Oryzias latipes: one gene and its partners. The protein of the gene in region 6 interacts with the protein of the main gene of each other region in a pairwise test. Links are inferred from orthologs where the notes say so. Each region holds a gene or a part of one and is shown on either strand. Other genes may lie near its edges.

Evidence for each region.
Region 1: the proteins of dystrobrevin beta (region 6) and sntg2 interact in binary tests that used the Homo sapiens proteins (3 or more experiments, as listed by UniProt). The link is inferred for Oryzias latipes from reciprocal best matches to the Homo sapiens genes DTNB and SNTG2.
Region 2: the proteins of dystrobrevin beta (region 6) and liprin-alpha-1 interact in binary tests that used the Homo sapiens proteins (3 or more experiments, as listed by UniProt). The link is inferred for Oryzias latipes from reciprocal best matches to the Homo sapiens genes DTNB and PPFIA1.
Region 3: the proteins of dystrobrevin beta (region 6) and coiled-coil alpha-helical rod protein 1 interact in binary tests that used the Homo sapiens proteins (3 or more experiments, as listed by UniProt). The link is inferred for Oryzias latipes from reciprocal best matches to the Homo sapiens genes DTNB and CCHCR1.
Region 4: the proteins of dystrobrevin beta (region 6) and cep63 interact in binary tests that used the Homo sapiens proteins (3 or more experiments, as listed by UniProt). The two-hybrid records come from large-scale screens. The link is inferred for Oryzias latipes from reciprocal best matches to the Homo sapiens genes DTNB and CEP63.
Region 5: the proteins of dystrobrevin beta (region 6) and dmd interact in binary tests that used the Homo sapiens proteins (3 or more experiments, as listed by UniProt). The link is inferred for Oryzias latipes from reciprocal best matches to the Homo sapiens genes DTNB and DMD.

Annotation. Positions count from the first base shown.
Region 1 is NC_019880.2:18,097,927-18,101,426, forward strand, and holds part of sntg2 (gamma-2-syntrophin), read right to left. Parts: intron 2,729-3,500; coding exon 2,591-2,728; intron 2,475-2,590; coding exon 2,418-2,474; intron 2,253-2,417; coding exon 2,195-2,252; intron 1,000-2,194; coding exon 956-999; intron 1-955. UniProt on the Homo sapiens protein: Adapter protein that binds to and probably organizes the subcellular localization of a variety of proteins. May link various receptors to the actin cytoskeleton and the dystrophin glycoprotein complex.
Region 2 is NC_019861.2:2,121,644-2,125,143, reverse strand, and holds part of liprin-alpha-1, read right to left. Parts: intron 1,665-3,500; coding exon 1,563-1,664; intron 1,375-1,562; coding exon 1,210-1,374; intron 1,114-1,209; coding exon 1,039-1,113; intron 1-1,038. UniProt on the Homo sapiens protein: May regulate the disassembly of focal adhesions. May localize receptor-like tyrosine phosphatases type 2A at specific sites on the plasma membrane, possibly regulating their interaction with the extracellular environment and their association with substrates.
Region 3 is NC_019872.2:16,058,902-16,062,065, forward strand, and holds part of coiled-coil alpha-helical rod protein 1, read left to right. Parts: intron 1-559; coding exon 560-706; intron 707-789; coding exon 790-900; intron 901-988; coding exon 989-1,095; intron 1,096-1,172; coding exon 1,173-1,285; intron 1,286-1,374; coding exon 1,375-1,447; intron 1,448-2,017; coding exon 2,018-2,136; intron 2,137-2,205; coding exon 2,206-2,394; intron 2,395-3,164. UniProt on the Homo sapiens protein: May be a regulator of keratinocyte proliferation or differentiation.
Region 4 is NC_019862.2:2,686,827-2,690,855, forward strand, and holds the start of cep63 (centrosomal protein of 63 kDa), read right to left. Parts: upstream 2,801-4,029; 5' UTR 2,538-2,800; intron 1-2,537. Other genes in the region: uncharacterized protein LOC111947333, read left to right, coding at 3,657-3,985. UniProt on the Homo sapiens protein: Required for normal spindle assembly.
Region 5 is NC_019860.2:218,307-221,765, reverse strand, and holds the end of dmd (dystrophin), read right to left. Parts: intron 3,300-3,459; coding exon 3,185-3,299; intron 3,107-3,184; coding exon 3,017-3,106; intron 1,642-3,016; coding exon 1,616-1,641; 3' UTR 1,613-1,615; intron 1,486-1,612; 3' UTR 501-1,485; downstream 1-500. UniProt on the Homo sapiens protein: Anchors the extracellular matrix to the cytoskeleton via F-actin. Ligand for dystroglycan.
Region 6 is NC_019880.2:104,019-107,518, forward strand, and holds part of dystrobrevin beta, read right to left. Parts: coding exon 3,291-3,500; intron 1,394-3,290; coding exon 1,308-1,393; intron 1,165-1,307; coding exon 1,010-1,164; intron 940-1,009; coding exon 834-939; intron 1-833.

The DNA of each region.
Region 1 (3,500 bases), about 18 Mb from region 6:
TGACTCATTTGTGTATAAAACCACAAGTCTTTGCATTTATCTATTTATTGAAAAAACAATAAATAAATAATACTGATAATAATTAAAAAAATAGAAAAGTAAGAAAAAGAAAAATGATGACAAATGAAACAAAACAGAACAGAAAACAAGCGGCCAGCAACAAAAACTACAAAGAAAAGCCTCAGACACAATAGGACACAAGTGTCATCTACTAACAAGACATTGATGGTGTTTTTTCAGCAATTTCAATGCAATGAGGTATGTGCAGAAATAAAAGAGTGCATAACTTAAAGCTCTGATTGGAGTTTCTGTTAAAGAGCTACTTTTTCTAACTCCTTATAATAGCAAAGGTAAAACTTTTCATACATACATCATTTTTTTACCACTATTTTTCCATTATTCTCTTTCAAACAAGCCCACGCCTAATTTGCGTCTTCTTCTCACTAACGTATGATAATAGCTTCAATATTCTGCTCTGTGACATTTCAGACAACTTGCAAATAAATGTAAACAGTAGTGATCTGAAGATGAAGGCAGCGGCAGCTCTATTAATAAAAGATTCGTAATAACGTCCATTATGAATGTGGGTATTACTTTGGCATCCATTCAGTCTTTTTGATATTCTAGATCAACAGTCGATCCAATATGGAAGCCAGACAGACTCAAATTAACTTTAAAATGAGCCAACATGAATGTTTTCCAAGAAAACCTTGGCAAATTCAAACAGTTCATTTCTGAGGCGATATTTACTGATCACAATATTTATTTTCAACCACAGACTGACAGCTATTTGCAAATATATTTGCAAAGAAAACATTTCTAGTTGAACTTGCAATTTAAAAAATGTAAATTTATGTCCTTTAGTGGACCTTTTCACTTTATAGCAGGTTTGAAATAAAGATTCTTCATATTGTGACCTGAACAGTTTCTATGCAATTTAAACTTCTGCACCAACCTGAAGGACGGCGTCTCCAATGAAAAGCTTTCCAGTCTGATCGGCTGCAGAGAGCAATTGATGGAGGTTAATGAAAACATTAAAGGATAATTGCTCATCTCTGACATGATAGAAATAACAATCAGTGTCTCCGTCATACTTATCTTAGACACCATCCTAAAGCTCAGAGACTAAACACAAGAAAGCGTGAAATTCCAAACTAATCAGGATATCAACTCTTTTGCACTGGCGTGACAGGAAACCATGTCGTTAAAAGGAGATTAGTCAAGGTTTCCATGGTCCCCTCCTACATTCACCATTGTGTTGGAGGGCCACATCACCATTTCGGTAAAGTTAAAAGGAAAAGAATTTGAAAACTTTTATTCTGCAAAATACAAAAAAAAATAAATCCAAATTGTTTTGTTTTCTGGTGACACAACTTAGTCTTTTTTTTAAACAAGTTAGATAGTGCCCTTGTTTCTATGTCAGTTTTGTACTGAAAGTTGAATTTAAATGTACCAAACAATCAGACAATCCTTGAATATAATTAAACTTTTACTGTCTTTTGAACACTGCAATCAATACATTAAAAAAAAGCGGTGTTCATCATCAACTCCTTTCTTCGATTTTGAAAGCAGCATACTTTCTTTTAATTTTTGGAATGACTTTCATGCTTTTTAATGGTTTCTTTCCTTCATTAAAATATTGTTCTGTAGTAACCCCTCCAATAAGTTGCTTTCAGACTTTGTTCACATTATCGACCAACCTAATTAAGGAAGGGGGAAGATGCTAAAATAAAATAAGGAACCTCAAGGGCATCATTTTATTTTGAAATCCAATTTGTGGAGGATAATTCTCTTCAGAATTCCCCCAAAAAGCCAATTCTGAACACATTTCCACCCATTTCTAAAATGTTTTGTAATTTTACATCTGTGCATGTGTACACAAACACAAACAGAAAGCAGCAGTAACGTTTTGTTTAATTTGGAAATAATAGCAAAGTTAACAATACGATGAACTACAATGTGTAGGGAAAACAAAGCTTTTGAAAGGAGCAGGAATTTCAAAAATCCCATTATTATTTATGTATTCAGGTAGTTCTCCAATTGACATCAGATTATTGCCATCTGATGTTTTTCCGATGCTCGCATTTCCAAGAATTAGCGTTACCGATTCCTCCCACTTGTCTGACTTTTGTGGTCATGTAAAAAAACTCTCCAATGCCAACACAAAGGTCAAACAATTACAAACCTTACTTACCAACTTGATCCTTAAAGATCTTAGAAATAACCACTGGAACGTTGTGCTCTGCACCTCCCTGAAAATACCAAAAAAAAAAAAAAAAAAAACCTGTTGAATTATGGAGTAACTTTCTTTTCAAACTCATTTTCTACATAAAAAAAATAACCAACTTTAATCACTTCCACTCAAATATGTTTCATTTTCACTTCCATCATTGAGTAATGTAAACATATCTGCTTACTTTGATGCTTAGGCCGAGTCCTCCAGTTGCTTGTCTTCGCAGTACAACAGTTCTGTGCTTTAAAAAGTGGGAGTTTCTTATTGGCAAAAGGGATATTGGGAGTACAGGGACAGTCTTCTGCAGTAAAACGACATTAACTGCAGTAAAAGTGTTAAGTTCTCAGGAGCACTTACATTTACTTGGGATTCAGTTCCACTGGTACAAATCACGTCCAGCTTCTGTATGGTTAATGCCTCTTTGGTCAGCTTCAGGCAGACGTCGTAGGTATTGTTGGTGTCCTCATTGTAGAGCAAAGCAATCCCAGATTTTGTCTGTTGGCGTTGAAAAGAGCATTGACATTTTACCAAGCAGACCAATTATGTACACAATGAACAGTTTAATCTTCTTTTTCTCAAAATGTCACCATTGAGCCATGCTTCTCTGCTCTAGTTTTGGGTTAATTAGTTTTGTGCGACATTGTGAACGCTGGAAAATAGAAGAAAAAAAATTCCTTTTGCAGATTTAAAACCCAAAACTTTTGACTAAGGAAAGTTTAGGAAAACCTGTCAAAATGGACATCCAGAATATATTGCAAAGTTTTCTTCTTGGAACTTTGTCATAGAGAATCTTATTTGTCATAGAGAATCTTGTTTGAATACAAAACTTTAAAAAAAGCTTAACAACTTAAAAAAAAAGTAATTTTGAAAATTTCAAATGAATTTCTTTGGCGTGTCAGTATATCAGCATGCTGCTTAATTTCTGAGTTTCCCCCATGAGAGACTTGTGACCTCTTCTGCTAGGAAATCTGAAGACTCGCAAGTACAAGACCAGCTCAGTGCCATTGTGGAAGAGTGTCCACCCTAAAACTGGAAGGTTCGAGTTCAAATCCACAAACAAGTCAAAACAAAGAGCACTCAGCCTTTGGATTGGGAAATTAACCCACCAAATGTAGTGACTGCAGCTCACGGCTTTCCCGGGGGATGAGTCAAATGCAGAGAACAAATTTCACACACCTATGTGTGACAGTGATGGGACTTTTTTTTTTACTGACTTTAAAGGTGATTCTGCATGAACAAAAGGTTCTGTGCATCAAACGAGATTATA
Region 2 (3,500 bases), on a different chromosome or scaffold from region 6:
GCTCAACGCTGGGCTCTGTAATGTTACAAGAGCCAGCAGAAAGTGTCTGTTATTATATTTATAAAATACAGTTTTTATTAATGTTCTATGAATTCTTTTTGTGGCATTTATCCTCCACGTCTTAAAGTTCGCTCTGTGAAAATATGGTCTGACTTTAAACCGGTCCGTGATCAGATGTAGGCGACACACAGCAATAAAGCATCTGAGTATTTTAGCATGATAGCATGGTTGCATGATAGCATGGTAGCATCAGTGTCACCACATCGCTGTCTCCATATCAACCCTCTTCCCTAAACATTCTGTTGCTGCTGTAAGTCCAGCAGGGACACACACAAAAAGGGCTTATTCCTATTATTGTTGTTTGGTCTTATATGTGTGTTTGATAGTAACAATTGTTTCTTTATTGTGCAACTGAATGTGAATTTCTGTAAATTGAAAAATGTGCAATAAAGGTTATTGAGAGAAAAAAATTCTCCTCTAGGTCTTTCTGGAGCCTGGTACAAACCCTCACATGTTCTGCTGCTTCATCGGGTTAAACTAAAAGCAGAGGCAACTAGCAGAAGTTATGGGGTAAGGGGCAATTCTCGCGGTTCCTGTGCTTGTTTTTTTTTCCCCTCTGCCTCACAAAAGGCATTAAACCTCACATAAATCAGCCTTTGGTCCCTCACAAGGGTGGCTGGTGCAGGCATCAAAAACATGAGGGACAAAGAAACATCACACAAAGTTCTTTATGAGATTCATTTCAACGCATTTGTATAAAGCTCAAATGGCCTCACAGCATTTACTAACCTGGTGTGACATGATTTCTGCAAAGTCTGACTGAAGCGATCTCAGATAACATCTGGAACCTGCTATATGTACCACAGTCCTCGGATGAAGGACATCAGGTAGATTCATGCATGAACAAACAGCCTCTGAGCTCTTGAGACTTCAATAAATACTAAACAAAGTCCAGTGTAGCCGCACTTCTTCTAACTTGGAGCCGAAACACCCCGTTTACATCCTAAGCCCCAAACAGAGTTTGTAGTGTTTACTCACTTCTTTGTGTGAAATGGCGAGTTCTTCCTCCAAAGCGCTGCATCGCTCCAGAGCAACACGAAGACGCTCTCTTACCTTCAAAGGTGGAACATAAACCTTTTTAACTTCATTCATCCTTATCAAGCACAGTATTCTACCAGGAGCTGTTGGACATTCCCTACAAAAACACACCTTCTCATCAAGGGCTTTGTGGTGTTCAAAAAGTGACTTGAGAGCCTTGAGGACCTCCACCTCGCTGGAGACACCAGCAGGAGACTGAGCCTGCCTCTTCACCACGGTCATCCTCAGACTGCGCTCGTGACGCGACACCAGGCACTCCAGGTGTTCCAGCAGGAGCTGCACACACCACAGACAGGGAGGACCAGAGTGAAGCCTCGCTCCTGCTCTCAAACTACACATTTTGGAAACCATGAACTGTTTTTTGTCTCCATAAGATTTGTTGTCAATGTTAAACAGTAAAAGAGTTTTTGTTTTGACAACTGTTGCTAGCTAGATCCAAGGAAAAAGGTGTGCATCTCACTCACCCGGGTGTTGTTCCTCTCCGCCTTCAACTCGGCGATCTCCTCCTCTTTCTCCAGAAGCTGCTCCCGGCACACGTTCACCTCCTTTGTTAGTGCAGCAAACTCCTAAAGAAGCATGAAGCACAAAGAGAACAGGGGGCATGCAGCCGTTACTGATGCGCTGTGCACCGTGAGGCTTCATGGCGGAGAAACCCTCCGCTCTCATGTAAACACAGACAGACATTTCAATCACAGCAGAACTCTGGCATCATAGGAAACCCAGAAATACAGAGAGCACTGCAGAGAAGGTTTCACTAACTCAGAGAAGGTTTCACTAACTCAGATAATGTGTCACTAGCTCAGAGAAGGTTTCACTAACTCAGAGAAGGTTTCTCTAACTCAGAAAAGGTTTCACTAACTCAGAGAATGTGTCACTAGCTCAGAAAAGGTTTCACTAACTCAGAGAAGGTTTCTCTAACTCAGAAAAGGTTTCTCTAACTCAGAAAAGGTTTCACTAACTCAGAGAATGTGTCACTAGCTCAGAGAAGGTTTCTCTAACTCAGAAAAGGTTTCACTAACTCAGAGAATGTGTCACTAGCTCAGAGAAGGTTTCTCTAACTCAGAGAAGGTTTCTCTAACTCAGAAAAGGTTTCTCTAACTCAGAAAAGGTTTCTCTAACTCAGAAAAGGTTTCACTAACTCAGAGAATGTGTCACTAGCTCAGAGAAGGTTTCTCTAACTCAGAGAAGGTTTCTCTAACTCAGAAAAGGTTTCTCTAACTCAGAAAAGGTTTCACTAACTCAGAGAATGTGTCACTAGCTCAGAGAAGGTTTCTCTAACTCAGAAAAGGTTTCACTAACTCAGAGAATGTGTCACTAGCTCAGAGAAGGTTTCTCTAACTCAGAGAAGGTTTCTCTAACTCAGAAAAGGTTTCTCTAACTCAGAGAAGGTGTCTCTAACTCAGAGAAGGTTTCTCTAACTCAGAGAAGGTTTCTCTAACTCAGAGAAGGTTTCTCTAACTCAGAGAAGGTTTCTCTAACTCAGAGAAGGTTTCTCTAACTCAGAGAAGGTTTCTCTAACTCAGAGAAGGTTTCTCTAACTCAGAGATGGTTTCTCTAACACAGAGAAGGTTTCTCTAACTCAGAGAAGGTGTCTCTAACTCAGAGAAGGTTTCAGTAACTCAAAGGAAGATTTCATTAACTCAGAGAATGTGTCACTAGCTCACAGAAGGTTTCACTAACTCAGGGAAGGTTTCACTAACTCAGGGAAGGTTTCACTAACTCAGGGAAGGTTTCACTAACTCAGGGAAGGTTTCACTAACTCAGGGAAGGTTTCACTAACTCAGAGAAGGTTTCTCTAACTCAGAGAAGGTTTCACTAACTCAGGGAAGGTTTCACTAATTCAGAGAAGGTGTCACTAACTCAGGGAAGGTTTCACTAACTCAGGGAAGGTTTCACTAACTCGGGGAAGGTTTCACTAACTCAGGGAAGGTTTCACTAACTCAGAGAAGATTTCACTAACTCAGAGAAGTATCACTAACTCAGAAAAGGTTTCACTAACTCAGGGAAGCTTTCACTAACTCAGGGAAGGTTTCACTAACTCAGAGAAGGTGTCACTAACTCAGGGAAGGTTTCACTAACTCAAGGAAGGTTTCACTAACTCAGAGAAGGTTTCACTAACTCAGGGAAGGTGTCACTAACTCAGGGAAGGTTTCACTAACTCAGGGAAGGTTTCACTAACTCAGAGAAGGTTTCACTAACTCAGGGAAGGTGTCACTAACTCAGGGAAGGTTTCACTAACTCAGGGAAGGTTTCACTAACTCAGGGAAGGTTTCACTAACTCAGAGAAGGTTTCACTAACTCAGGGAAGGTTTCACTAACTCAGAGAAGGTTTCACTAACTCAGGGAAGGTTCCACTAACTCAGAGAAGGTTCCACTAACTCAGAGAAGGTTTCACTAACTCA
Region 3 (3,164 bases), on a different chromosome or scaffold from region 6:
ATAGATAAAGTATTTTTTTTTTTTACACAATATTTTTTTGGTCCCACTAAACTTCTGGGTCCTTATCCATGTACTTTAATTGGGCTGGTATAAAATATTTTATCTCTATTTATCAAACAATATCTTAATCAGCCCTATCCTGAAAAAAACAAACAGATTTTATGACTTACACCTGAAGTTGAAAATAAGCAAATAAAGTTAAAATCATAAACAAAATGTTACCAACAGTAACAGATTTCTCTTTTGTTCAGATGCTTTAGGTACCTGTGAATATATAAAATTGTTAAACAATCATTAATAACACTCACACTTTCATATTAATAAATATTTATTAGTTATTTTAGTGAAAATGTATATAAAACCGAATTTTTTGCAGGGGAGGGGGGAGTTCTCCTCAAAATATTTTGAATACTGTGTGTATATTAACAGCTAAATATTACTGGTTGTAATGTTGAGAGTTTTGGTCTATTTTGGAGATTTGGAGATGAACATTTAGGATGCTTTGGAAATGTGTTTTTAAATTTAAACCTTATCTGAAGAAAGTATGTGTGTTTTATAGCAAACCTCTGCAGATCCTCTCCAATGGAAGGAGCCTGACATCCTTCAAGTGCTTCAGCTGTGGAGAGAGAAAGTGTTCAAGTTGTGCGTCCAGCTTCGCTCTAAAGACATTGAGACGAGAAGAGAAAAAGACAAAGTTCTTTTTGATGTATGAAAAAAGTCATTTGTTCTTCAAACTCTGTACATTTCATCAGTGTTATTTTTAACCAAAAAACACTTGTTCTGTCTCAGGTGAGATCCACGGAGCAGCAGCTCCAGCAGGAGCAGCACCAGAACCGTCTGCTCCAACACAGTCTGCAAGACAGGATGGCAGAGCTGGACCTGGAGAAGGTAGAAAAGGAGGTTAGCATCAGAACGTCTGAGCTCATAAAGACACTATAAAGATGTGTCTGCATGTCGCTTTTCTAAAAATATGTTGTTATCAAACTAGACACTGAGGGAAGATTTAACAAAAGTTGAGAGAGAAAATGCTGAGCTGAAGTCACAGAACCAGAGAGCAGAGGCTGAAATCAAGATCCTGATAGAAGCTGTGCAGAGGTAACTTTTATTTGATACAAATTGATTTTCATTTCTGTATTTCCTCAATGGTATTTATTGCAGTTTTTTCTCAACAGGTTCCAGAAGGAATTTGACCGCAAGACCGCAGAAGTAGACTCTGCTAAAACAAAGCTAAACACTTTTACCCAGAGGCTCTCTTTTGCTTCTAGAAGAGTGGAGACCATCCAGTGTAAGGCTTCTGGGGTTAGCTTGTTGACAGAAATTCTTCCTCATAGACGTGCATACAACATTTCAGTGAATACTGTTTTGGTTCTGCAGGTTTGGTCATGAGGCGAGCGGCTCTGCAGAAAATTGAGCAGGCGTGTCAACCACCAAAGCAAGAAAAGAACAGGTATAGGTTCACAATCAGATGATTGTCGTGCACAAACAGACCTGATTGGATAATTAAAAATGGTTCACATGAGTTTTTCCCATCAGATCTTATTTAACTAAATAAACCCAGTTCAAATAAATATTTGTTGAACTGGGACACTTGTAGTTTTGGGCACAATGACATCAAGCACTTTTATTTTTTTGTTTATTTTTTTATGTTTCATTTAAAGTGTAAAGAGTATATGCAATCATATTTTCTATTTGTCTAGATTTTCTACTCAAAATTAGGTTCACGAGTATTTTTGTTTTGTTCTATGGAAACAGTGATCCGAGATTTTGAACAAAATAGATCTTCTAAATATCACTGCATAATTTAAGACGTGACATCATTTTGCATCAAAAGCAACATTTCCCTTCAACCCTGTCAAAGATTTGAATTATTTGAATTATGAAAATTTAAGAATTCTTTGAGAAGGGTAAAAACTGTATTAATAACAAGTTTATATGGACTTGATTGTCTGTTTTATTGATATTTTTAACTTTGCATTTTCTTACAGTTCGTCTTCTTATAGTATTTTTTGTCTTGCAGCTTGACAAACTTGCAGACGGAATACGGTCTGATTTGCGAGGAGCGAGACAGGCTGAGTCTAGAGCTCAAAAGAACCCCAGAGCTCATTGAGAAAGCTCTCGCTGATCTGAAGGAACAATGTGAGATCATGTTTTGATTTATGACTTTTCTGGAATCCATGATTGGGATTAGACTTCTTCTGTCTGCAGATGGGAGTAAAGTCAGGCAGCTGGAGCAGGAGCTGGAGCTGAGCTGCATGGAGGTGAAACAGGCTCTAGCCGGTAAAGAGAAGGCGGAACAGAGGCTGCAGCAGATCCAGGCACAGCTGGATGAGACCAGCATCAGCTTGGAGACACTTCCCTGTGAGCTGCTCCACCAGCAAGAGCGAAACCAGCAGGGTGAGGCAGCGACTTGACTTTGAACGGAACTGGCCTTTTCTGGAAAGGTTCTTGTTTTGATGCTTCAGCAGCCTTACGGGGACCCGGACACTATGTCTCCAGCTGATCAAGTGGAGTCAACCATGTCAAACTGAAACTTTTGTTAAAAACTGATCAGCTTTGAGAAAAAAAGATATAAAGAACATTGTTCACATTCTTATTGTTCATGTCCTCCTGACTACCAGAAATGTAAAGTTGTCCATTATAGAGGGTATTTTAAACCCCAATATTTCCCAACCTCTCTACTACTAAATTTACTCATCTGGTATCTAAGAGGACATTTAAGGCTTTTCAATGTTACTAAGTGGAAAAGGATGGGGCTTATTTTTTTTCTCTGGTAGTTGGAAGAATAACACTTTTTTAAATATCTGGAAATCAGAACAAAATTTTGTGTAAAATGTTTAGGATATGTCTTCATATAATGTTTTTATTTTGCTTTTTAATTAATAATTTATCCAATTTTTTATTATTTTGTGTCAAACCTTGTAAAAACGTAACACTACTGGATTCCTTAGCTTCAGTTCTTTTTGATTTCCATATTAAGTGATGATGCAGGCATCACATTTACCGTTTACCATAAGTGTTTACTTTCCTTTAGAGGAATTTTTATTTATTTTTATTATTATTATTATTATTTTTTTTTTTTTACAAAAAATAGTACCTAAAAAGGAAAAAAAGTGAAGAAAAATACCACAAAACCATCCAACTGTGGAGACTAAAACCCAGATATA
Region 4 (4,029 bases), on a different chromosome or scaffold from region 6:
ACAAAATGATGACTACACCCTTACTTTGACGTGTTCTCCCTACCATGACAAAGGTGGAAAGATTTCATGTAATCCATGGACACCACTGAAGATCACAAATCATTCAAGAAAAAAGGTTCAGAGCACTCTCTAGTGGGTCTAGATGACCCAACTCCCAGGATAGCAAAAGGGTTAAAACTAATCTGGTCTGTTGATCTGCTAAGAGAGTTTCGGGATGCGCCTTCACTGTAGATCAGCAGGGTTTGCAGAGCTTGGTGTCGATGGATGCTGCGTGACCAAAGATTATCCATAAGTTGATTCTGCAGTACAGACATCTAGTCTGGTCAAAGAGAAATACACAAGAAATCCTTTTTTATTATAAAGATTTGGTTTTAAGTTTCTATGAGGCTTAAAAAGATGATTTTACTTGGATATGATAAGAACAAAATACTTAAATTCAACTTTTACTGAATTCAAATAAGAGTATGGTAAACATTGTTAAAATTAATTTCTGCAAAAAATAAGTCACATGATAAAATTAACATTTAACACTAATGTAGTCTGATTAATAAAACAATTTAAAAATAGTTTATAGTTATTATATAACAATTTTTTTACATTCTCAAAAGAGGGTAGGTACTTGTACACAGTTATATTTAGTATAAAAACTTATGAGAAGTAAATAAACAAAAAAAAGTATTTTTATTAACCATTTTGGGGTACTCTACAAACCCACAAAGTTACTACAGTTATTATATATTTTACAACCTGTAAGGAAGTTATAAAATATGTCCGTTAAACTAGCTAAAGCTATTGTGTAATTCTTGAGAACTTCATCTTGTAGAATTTTGTTTTATTTTTTGAGAGATTGAATACATACGGAGCCTGTTACCGCCCTAACCCCTAACTTTTAAAAAAAACTATACAGTGCAGCATTATATAATGCCTTGAATTTTAAAAGCTATTCAGACACCGTGCTATCCTAGGCACTTTAACATTGGGAGTTGGGTCATCTAGACCCACTAGACCAGTTCTTCTCAAATAGTGGGGCTAGGCGGCGCGAAGCGATGTCAGGGGGGGGCGCGCGGTGATGGTGGTTTATGCACAGGTAATACGGGCAATCGTCCGGTGCGCAAATTTAACATGGGGGCGGTGGTGACAGCGGCTCAGTGCTTGGAAAAATATCTGGTCCACTATTCGGTTCCTGTTGTCTGTTATATCACAGAGTTTGTAACAGCCTGAAACCTTTGAATTCCCGTCCCTGCAGCTGCTCCTATCTCGTGTCACACGGGGCTGCATGAGTGAGAACGAAAGGGGAGGGGTGGGGTGTGACTTTGTGATGATTATTTATAAGTCCACTGTCTTCTGAAGATAAACACAAAACATTTTAAAAACATTTAAATACATTTTTCTGCAAAAATTACAGACGCAATGCATTGTTGTCTATATTTCCCGATCTAATGAGCGTCGAGGCACACCGGTTTTTCGCAGAGACATCTGGGAAATTTCTGCGGGGCACTCAATTTGGGAATTGTAGGTTCAGACAGCACTTCAAAATGGTAAGATGCACTATATAACGGTTAGGGTGGGATTTCGGACATAGGCTCTGTCAAAAACCAGTGTGCTCACTACGTAAATCGGTACCATAGACCACAATGCATTGCGTCAAAGCAATTTTTACCCCAAATAAAGTATATTTTAAACAAACCATCAAAGTTTTTATCTTCAGAACACAGTGGATTCATAAATACGATGGAGTTTTCAGTTTACAAAAAAAAAAAATTAAAATTACGATTTTTAATTCGTAAATTTCAGAGAAAGAAAGTCATAACTGTTAAATTACGAGATTTTAAGACGTTATGAGATTTTATCTCGTTAATTTATGAGTTTTATCTCATAAATTCACAACTTAAAATCTCGTAAATTTTTGAGTTTTTTTCTCGTAAATCTACAAGAAAAAGTCATAGTAAAAAACAAGTAAAAACACATAAGTTTTCTGTTTATCGGAGCCTAGCTTGAAGACGAAATATGTGGAGACTTTTGTGAAGCTTTATTTCCAGATAAGTTTCAAAAACAAACAAATTTTGAGCCTTTTGACGACTTAAAATCACATTTTTGTTAGTGTAGCCAGCCTTCCAGGGTTCGGTGTCGGTAAAGCGGAGTTAACTAAGGAGCTCAGAGACTCGTTTGGGTGTAGAGGACCGCTACTTTATTTTCCTTTTCAATCACAAACCCAGAAGTCCATTTGTCACCTTACGTCATGAACCTGTCATGCGCAGAACACCAATGTTTAAACGAAATGTCCCGTTTCAACATAAAACAACAAAGATGAATGAAAATAGTCTGTTAAATTAGCATAAGCATGTTGAAAATGCCAAAAAAGTGCACACAGACCTCTAAACATCCTCCGTGTCTTCAATGCATTGTAATGAAATATACACAGACAGAAATGTGAAAGTATCTGCTGTAAATCCAAGAATGACTTATCAGATGAATTATTATTTCGTGGGAACATTTTTTTTTTTTACCCATGTCAGGTCACGGGCTCCGTACAGTACCTGTTGTGTCTCAGCCGGACTATAAGGACTCCATGCCTGGATCACTACTCCTCTCTGAGTCAGTCACGCGACACGTTACTTACTACGCGACAGGACATTCGCCGACGCGGCTGGAATGATCTACGGCTAAGACTCGTCCAAATTCACAGCCGTTAACATCCAGACAACCCGCGCGACGAATGACCCGGCCAACGTCGACCGTGAAGGCCGCGGCCACTGAAAGACGCAGCCCCCGAATTCGGACACACCCTCCATTTTCATCTCAATACAGATTATATTTACATATTTTGACTAAGTGTAAGCGTGGCTCGTTGGTCTAGGGGTATGATTCTCGCTTTGGGTGCGAGAGGTCCCGGGTTCAAATCCCGGACGAGCCCAAAGGTTTTTATTGTCCACTGCCCAAAGCTTTTTATTTTCCACTAAGAAAAACATTTTTATCCAAGTGGTTGGAGTGGATATTTTTTATTTTATTTATTTATTTATTTTTTTAACTTTTTACCATTTCTAAGTTAGTCATCTCCTTCGACCAGCCCTCCACCGGCCTAACAGCAAACACAGGAACAAAGACGGAGGCTTGGCTCAGCTTCCCCAGCTGTTGTTGGGCGAGTCCTGGGCGGTGACAGACGTCTCTGTTCCGCCCCCAGCCGCGGCGGACTCTCAACAGGCGGCAGACGCGACAGTTCATTTACAGTTCTTGACTGCAGGCAGACTGAGCCACTTGGAAAAACCTGATCTGAACGAGAACTAGAAGCATTTCACTCAAGTAAGTATAACATTTGATTTATTTGAACATGACTCCTCTTCTTCTGTCAGTGGTAAACTTCTTTTTATACTGTAACTTTTTACTATTAAAAGGACATGTTATTATCCAAGAAAATAATGAGTTTTCTTATCTTGATGTGAAATGGTTGCATTCACAAGAATTAAAATATCAAAAATTCCTCTAATTCATTTTTTCTCCTTAGAGTAGAAATAAATACAGCTGTCATTCCTGGGTAAAGTTTGACCAAAGGACAATCTTTTCATGTTTCTTCCCAGCCGGGCCCGTGGGACCGTCTGGGACCTTCTGCAGCTCCTCTGTGGCTCTCAGCAGGAACATCGCCGTCGTCCATCTGGACCATGGTTCTGTGTGAGGACAGCGACTGCACCGTCTGCTTCTTCCCTTACTCCCGCATGGACAGGATCCCCCGGGTGCTTCACTGCAGACATACCTTCTGTGAACTGTGTCTGGAGGCCATGCAGCAGGTCAGGAGCAGCTACCTGGCGCTGGCCTGCCCGCTGTGCCGCAGGGTCACCTGCATTGACCGAGGCCTCAGCCTGCAGGAAGCTCTGTGGGTGGACAGCAGGCAGTGGGAGCAGATCGCAGAGGCAGGAGAGGAGGACGACACACTCAAACTGGAAGGAGAGGAGCTGGAGACCAAGCAGCGCCTCTCATTACAGATGGAATGGTGAGTTCTGCAGGGGAACAGCACGTCCAACACACAGGTCAGCT
Region 5 (3,459 bases), on a different chromosome or scaffold from region 6:
CACCCCCTTCTTTCATGTGAGTGCAGGGGGGGTAAACGTTACAACAGTTTGTTAGAGATGTGAGCAGAAATGGCAAAAACAGAAGAACTCATCAAGGATCTATGCATCAACACCTGTGTGGAGGACATGTCCTCTGGTCTACAACAACATGCATCCTGGGTCCATTGGACCCCAAACAGCCCCAAAGCCCCAGTGTGTCTGTCCACTGGTAACCCATCCATGGTGAACTCTAACCTCACTTAACAGGAACCAGGTCGGCTCCTGTGACTCTGAAGGGGTTAGGCGGGTCCCTCCCCTCATCATCTTCAGTCTTTTCAAACATCCAGGTTTACTTCAATAGTTGTTTCTGAACAGTCAGACGGTTCTTGGCTTCAGGCTGCTTTGATGAGCAGAGAAATGGAGCTTTTTGTCCAAATGTACCAAAGAGGACCAAGTCCAGAGTCCAGCCGTCAACCTGTGGACCTGGTCGTCAGCCTCACAAACACCACGGCGCCAGCAGCTGGACATAACTGCGTGCTTTATTGATACATAGTAAAGCATTTCGTAATACAGTAGTAAGGCATACATTTGGTGGAGTCTGATATGTCGTGAAGAACAGACGTTTGTTGATTCACGCACAAACCATCGGGTCATGCTGCTGCTGAGGATGTTCACTTCCACACAACACACACCTCCAGACCAGGAAGGGGCGGAGTCTGGTCTGGCTCTTGTTCAGCTTGGGCCGGATGAGTCAAATCGTTTTGGGCTGCGTTTTTGGACGGGTTGTTCTTGTTTCAGGTCGTGGACTTGGATCCTCCTGGTTGGGTCTGATACTTTAGCTGTTTTTGTATTGCATTGGTTTCTATTTTCCTTCTTCTGTCAGTCTGGTCTGTAAACCAACATCAGTACGGCAGAGACCGAGGACAGCGGGTGTAGGAACCAAACTGCACCTGTAAGTCCAACCCCGCCCTCTAGTTACAGACTGCACCTGTACTTAGCATGTCAGGTTACCACGATGGTGACAAACACCTATAGTTTGGCTCCAACAGCCATTCAAACAAAGGGGCGTGGCTCTACCTGCCCAGTTACCCTTGGTATGCAGTAGTCACACACAAACACACATCAGTCAGAAGCGGCGTCCTCTTAGAAAACGTATTATTACAATCATTTTTTGATAGAAATGTGTGAAATGCTCGGGCTGCTCGTCAATAGAAAGAGATCCGGTCTGTCCCTCTCCGTTTTTTTACAGTTTTGCATAGAAGTTTAAAAACCAGAGAATGACGTCAGGACGCGTTAAGAAACTACTCAGTCTAAGTTACAACAACCATCATTCACAAAAATAGATGTTAGAATTTCTTTGTAAACTCTTCAATCCAGTTGTTTCGACTAGAAAAGCATGCTTTATGTAGGGGGCGGGGCTAGAGTTCAAAAGGGCTGTCCCATGGCGTCCTGCGCGTCTGTCATGGCGATGACCGCCGACTCCATGATGGCTGGGGGTGCTGGGACCTGACGGGGAGGAGAGCAGACGTTAGCGATGTCACGTTCTCATGAATGAGCCTGCTCCTGTGCTGCCCCCTGTCTGTCAGGAGGACACACTGCAATAAAAATGGATGATGGGGAGTGAGGCACTGACCGCTCAAAGATGATGTCCCCTTCTCCCTCCTGGACCATGGAAGAGCAGGCGCAAGAAAGAAGATCAGAGCAGTGCTAGGATGAACAGAGAACCCCCCACACCCACCCCAATAAAACAGATGTGCCTTTTAACTGAGCTAACCTGAGGCTTAACTAGTGGGTAACTTTGGGCAGTTTTCCAGAGTTAAGCTTTTAGCTCCAGCGATGTCAGCGGCTACGCCTAAATATCACACACCCTTTCACTCACCGTAACATTATGATCATTTTAGATTAATTCAAAGAAAACGGCTTTGGGCTGATGAGTCAAAAGGAAAAAAGAGCCAAGCTGCCGTTCTTAGCATCACTATCTGTTGGTATTCTGTTACATTAACTATCATAGTTAGGATCAGATTATCACAGAATTACTGTAACTCTACGGAGGTCTAGGTGATTGACAGAATCGTATCAGACTTACAGAGTCATTGTAGCTCTATGATTGTTTATGTCATTCATAAAGATATACAACAGCTGTGTTTGTCAGCACAAAGCTGTTTCTCTCTGCTTCAGTTAACCGTGTAGACCAGGGGTCAGGAAGCTATGGCTGGCGAGCCATATATGGCTCTTTTGATGGTCACATGTTGCTCGCAGACAAATCTTTAATTATACTTTTTTTTTCATTAGACCAGTCCATCTCGGGTTTGATGCCATGCCAGAGGCGCGCAGTAGTAGCGGTGCTTGGAGAGAAAAATCTGCGCCAGCGCTATCAGTTACTATTATCTATTATTTCACAGAGTTTGTACCAACTGGAAACCTTTGAATTGCCGTGCCTGGGTACAGGCAGCAGGGATGGTAAAAACGTAAACCCGCTGCCCGTCACTCACTGCAGTGTGAGTGTGTGTTTGGCTCTATGTCTGTCTCACATCTACACCTACGCTCTCGTCTAGGCGGGAGAGAATAAGGAGTTGCTGAATTAATTGTACGGCGTTTGTTGCGGTCTGCAGTAACCAGAATAAAGAACCTCAAAAGAAGTTAAGTCTCTGTGCCTCAGTGTGGGAAAGGGACGCTACATTATTGTATGGCATTATGTGGCATTTATGGCTCTCTTGGCCAAAAAGGTTCCCGACCCCTGCTGTAGACAGTCAAAGGGTTAAAACATTTCAAAGAACGTCAACATGCAGCTAGAGCTCCACCGTTAAAGTCTCAGCTGACACGAGTTCACAGCAGGAAACAGAACTGAAAACAAAGATCCTCTGACGCTACATTTCTAATTCTTGTAGCTTAAAAGTTCCTAAAAGTCCACAGGTTGAGTCGTGGCGTCTGGACTTAGCGTCATCAGTCAGCCCAGACGCCACGACTCAACGTCCAGACAACGTCAGCTGATCAAACACCCAACACCTCAGCAGTAAGGAGAGTGGAGACAGCGCACCCTGGCTGTGAGGAAAGGTATTGTTGAGCTGCTCCATCACTTCTTTTAGACCAGATGCATCCTGGGAAGGGCTGGACAGATCATCATCACCTGCAAAGCATCAACAGATGTTTGGCGTTTTCCCGGCGGCTGATCGTGACAACGCCGCTGCGCCATGGCGGCACTCACCCATGGTGTCGGTGGTCTGGCTGGCGGCCACTCGTAGGACGGGCAGGGAGGAGTCAGAGCGCTGGGAGGAGGTGGAGGGCGAGGACAGGGCCGTACCGTTCACCTTGGAGTCCGTCTAACACACACAGAGTTGTTGATGTTCATCAATCTGGTGGTTTTGGTGACACTTTCAGACGCTTCTGTTGTCGCCATGACAACAGTAAACCTCATGGGGCGTGGTTTTCACCGTGCGTTCACACCGGGCTCAGAAACGCGCGTTGAAGCGACCACTCCCC
Region 6 (3,500 bases):
TGGATGGAACGTCAGCGTGTTTGGATGGAACGTCGGCATGTTTGGATGGAACGTCTGCGTGTCTGGATGGAACGTCGGCGTGTTTGGATGGAACGTCAGCGTGTCTGGATGGAATGTCAGCGTGTCTGGATGGAACGTCAGCGTGTCTGGATGGAACGTCGGCGTGTTTGGATGGAACGTCAGCGTGTTTGGATGGAACGTCAGCGTGTTTGGATGGAACGTCAGCGTGTCTGGATGGAACGTCAGGATGGAATGTCAGCGTGTCTGGATGGAACGTCGGCGTGTCTGGATGGAACGTTGGCGTGTCTGGATGGAACGTCGGCGTGTCTGGATGGAATGTCAGCGTGTTTGGATGGAATGTCAGCGTGTCTGGATGGAACGTCGGCGTGTCTGGATGGAACGTTGGCGTGTCTGGATGGAATGTCAGCGTGTTTGGATGGAATGTCAGCGTGTCTGGATGGAACGTCGGCGTGTCTGGATGGAACGTCGGCGTGTTTGGATGGAACGTCAGCGTGTCTGGATGGAACGTCAGCGTGTCTGGATGGAACGTCGGCGTGTTTGGATGGAACGTCAGCGTGTCTGGATGGAACGTCAGCGTGTCTGGATGGAACGTCGGCGTGTCTGGATGGAATGTTAGCGTGTCTGGATGGAATGTTAGCGTGTCTGGATGGAACGTCAGCGTGTCTGGATGGAACGTTGGCGTTGGACGGATTTGGTTCTTTATGTCATCATTTCATGGACTGTAGGGGGAAGCTACAGAAATACCACACATGCAAACTCCACACAGGAAGGTCCCATCCAGGGTTCGAACCTTCCTACAGGCAAAAACTCACCATTTTCAACGTTAGCGAGTCTGTGCATCAGTGGGAGCCACACGAGACACTGAGGGGGGGGGTCTGCCATGAGCACATCCAAAAACGTGTTCAGCAGGATCTTCTTCTGGTGTCAAACACAAACATCAGTGCATTTATTGGGAAAGACGTGTAGGAATGCGTCTTCTGCATCCCACCTGCTGTGGAAAACACATCCGCAGAGAATGTTCTGTGTATCCAAAGGACGGCCCCTCGAACACGGCGGTGGGGAGCTTCAACACCTCCCTGAGCAGCTGGTCAAACTTAGCAAACACCATCAGTCCACTGCAGTCAGAGATCTGTGAAAAAATGTCTGAAACCCGCAGACAGTTGGTGATTGGACCCACAGCGCCCCCTGCTTTCAGCTTCATTTACTGCATGTAGGTTCAGAAGGTTGTGCTCAAAGAAAACAAACACAAATGTTTCTAAATGTAACACTCTCAAAACTGGTCTTACAGCGAAGTTTGTCCACAATTTTGCCTCCACACATGGTGGCCAGCATGGTCTTCATGGAGAACACGGTCATCTTCCCCGGACTGTCACTGGAGAAAAAGACAGTTTCATGTTTTTCTACCTTTTTCACTTTTTGACATCAAAAACTGAAACAGAGTCCTAAGAACGCAAAGATTGTGTTCCTGAAAATAAAGTGTGTCTAAAGTGTGGAGATGGATTTAAGACATTAATAAATGTTCATTTAAATTGAATAGAATAGAAAAAAATAAAACAAAACAGAACAGAAAAAATAGAACAGAATAGAAAACAATAGAATAGAAACAAACAATAATCAAACCAAATCAAAGACAACAAAAGACAACAAAATAGAACAAGCAAAAAAGAATATAATAGAAGAAAGGAGAATAGAACACAATAGAATACAACACAATGAAACAGGATAGAAAAGAAACAAACATAATAGAACAGAATAGAACAGAAAAAATAGAACAGAACAGAGGGGATTAGAACAAAATAGAACAGGATAGAATAAAGTAGAATAAAACACAATGGAAGAGAATAGAAACCAACGCAATAGAATAGAACAGAACAGGATACAATGAAACACATTAGAACACAAAAGAACAGAAAACAACAGAAGAAAATAGAACACAATAGAATAGAATAGAATAGAATAGAACAGGACACAATAAAAAAGAATTAAACACAATAGAACAGGATAGAACACAATTGAACAGAATAGAATAGAATAGAACACAAGAGAACAGAAAAGTATAAAACATTATAGAACAGGATAGAATAGAACAGAATAAAACACAATTGAACAGAATAGAACAGAAAAAAGAATAGAAGGAGAATAGAACGAATAGAATACAATAAAACAGAAAATAATAAAACAGAACAGAATACAAATGCAATAGATTAGAAAATAACAGAATAGAATAAAACACAATAGAATAGAACATAATAGACTAGAACACAATAGAACAGAATAAAGAGTCTTTAATGACATGACACATTTTATAAAGAAAGTTCAAAACTGTTCATTCTGAGAAGAATAAAAGTAGATTAATAGAAACACTATTCATTTGAAAAACATTAATTTTAAACTGAATTTTGAAAACAATTTGAAAATAAATGGTAATAACATTTGAGTTGAGTAGGAAGCTCAGAAAAACTGAATGAAGATGTTTGAAAAAAAAACAAATAAGGCTAAAACTCCAAAACACTGTATGGCCTCCTGTTGATTCCCAGAGTCAGAACTAAACAAGGGGAATCAGCGTTTCAATATTCTGCAGCTGAAATCTGGAACAGCCTCCCTGAAGTCGTAAGACAGGCCTCTTCTGTGTTCATGTTCAAATCTAGACTTAAAACATTTCTGTTTAGCCGTGTATATGACTGAAAGGTCCTATCTGCACTTTTCTTTCCTTTCCTTCCTTTATTTTTAAATCAATTTTCAAAATGTTTTTTTCTTTTCTTTTAAAGTTAATTTTACGTTGATTATTTCTATGATGTATTGTGATTTTAATGCATTTTTCTGTTTTGTGAAGCACCTTGAATTACTTTGTGTAAAATTGTGCTATACAAATAAACTTGCCTTGCCTTGCCTTGGAATTCAGAGTGAATTAAAGTCTTACAGATGCTGAAAACGGTTAATAGAAACATTTGTTAAGCTTTAAGATTTCTGATAGAAACGGAAACAGAAGATTTTAGTCTGGTTTCTGTCAGTTAAAGTCAGAATCGCCTCTTAATTCAGACTTCTTTTAGGACGTTTCAAAGACTTTCTTCTTCTGGTTCAGCTTCCTGTAATTGTCTTGCAGCTAAATCGTGGCGTCTGGACTTGAAGTCCTCCACCCTGGAAACCTTCGTCCGTCTCTGGAGGGCAGGAAACGTTTCCAAGACAGAAGACTTTGAGTCCAGATGTCACCTTTCAACTTCAAGACATCGTCACCAACGTCCTGTCGTTCCTCTGCGCTCCTGTCGTACCTGTCGTAGGTCGCCACCATGAAGTTGAGCAGCAGCCCGATGGACTGCTCCACGTTGATCTGGTGGGTGGTGGGCAGACGCTTGTTGAGCTGGTAATAGATGGAGGACAGGATGGTCTCCAACCGCGACACGTTGATCTCAGCGTTGTGGTCCAGCGCGTTGAGGCCGTTGTCCCGAAAGGCTTCGATCATGTTCCACACATCCACCAGA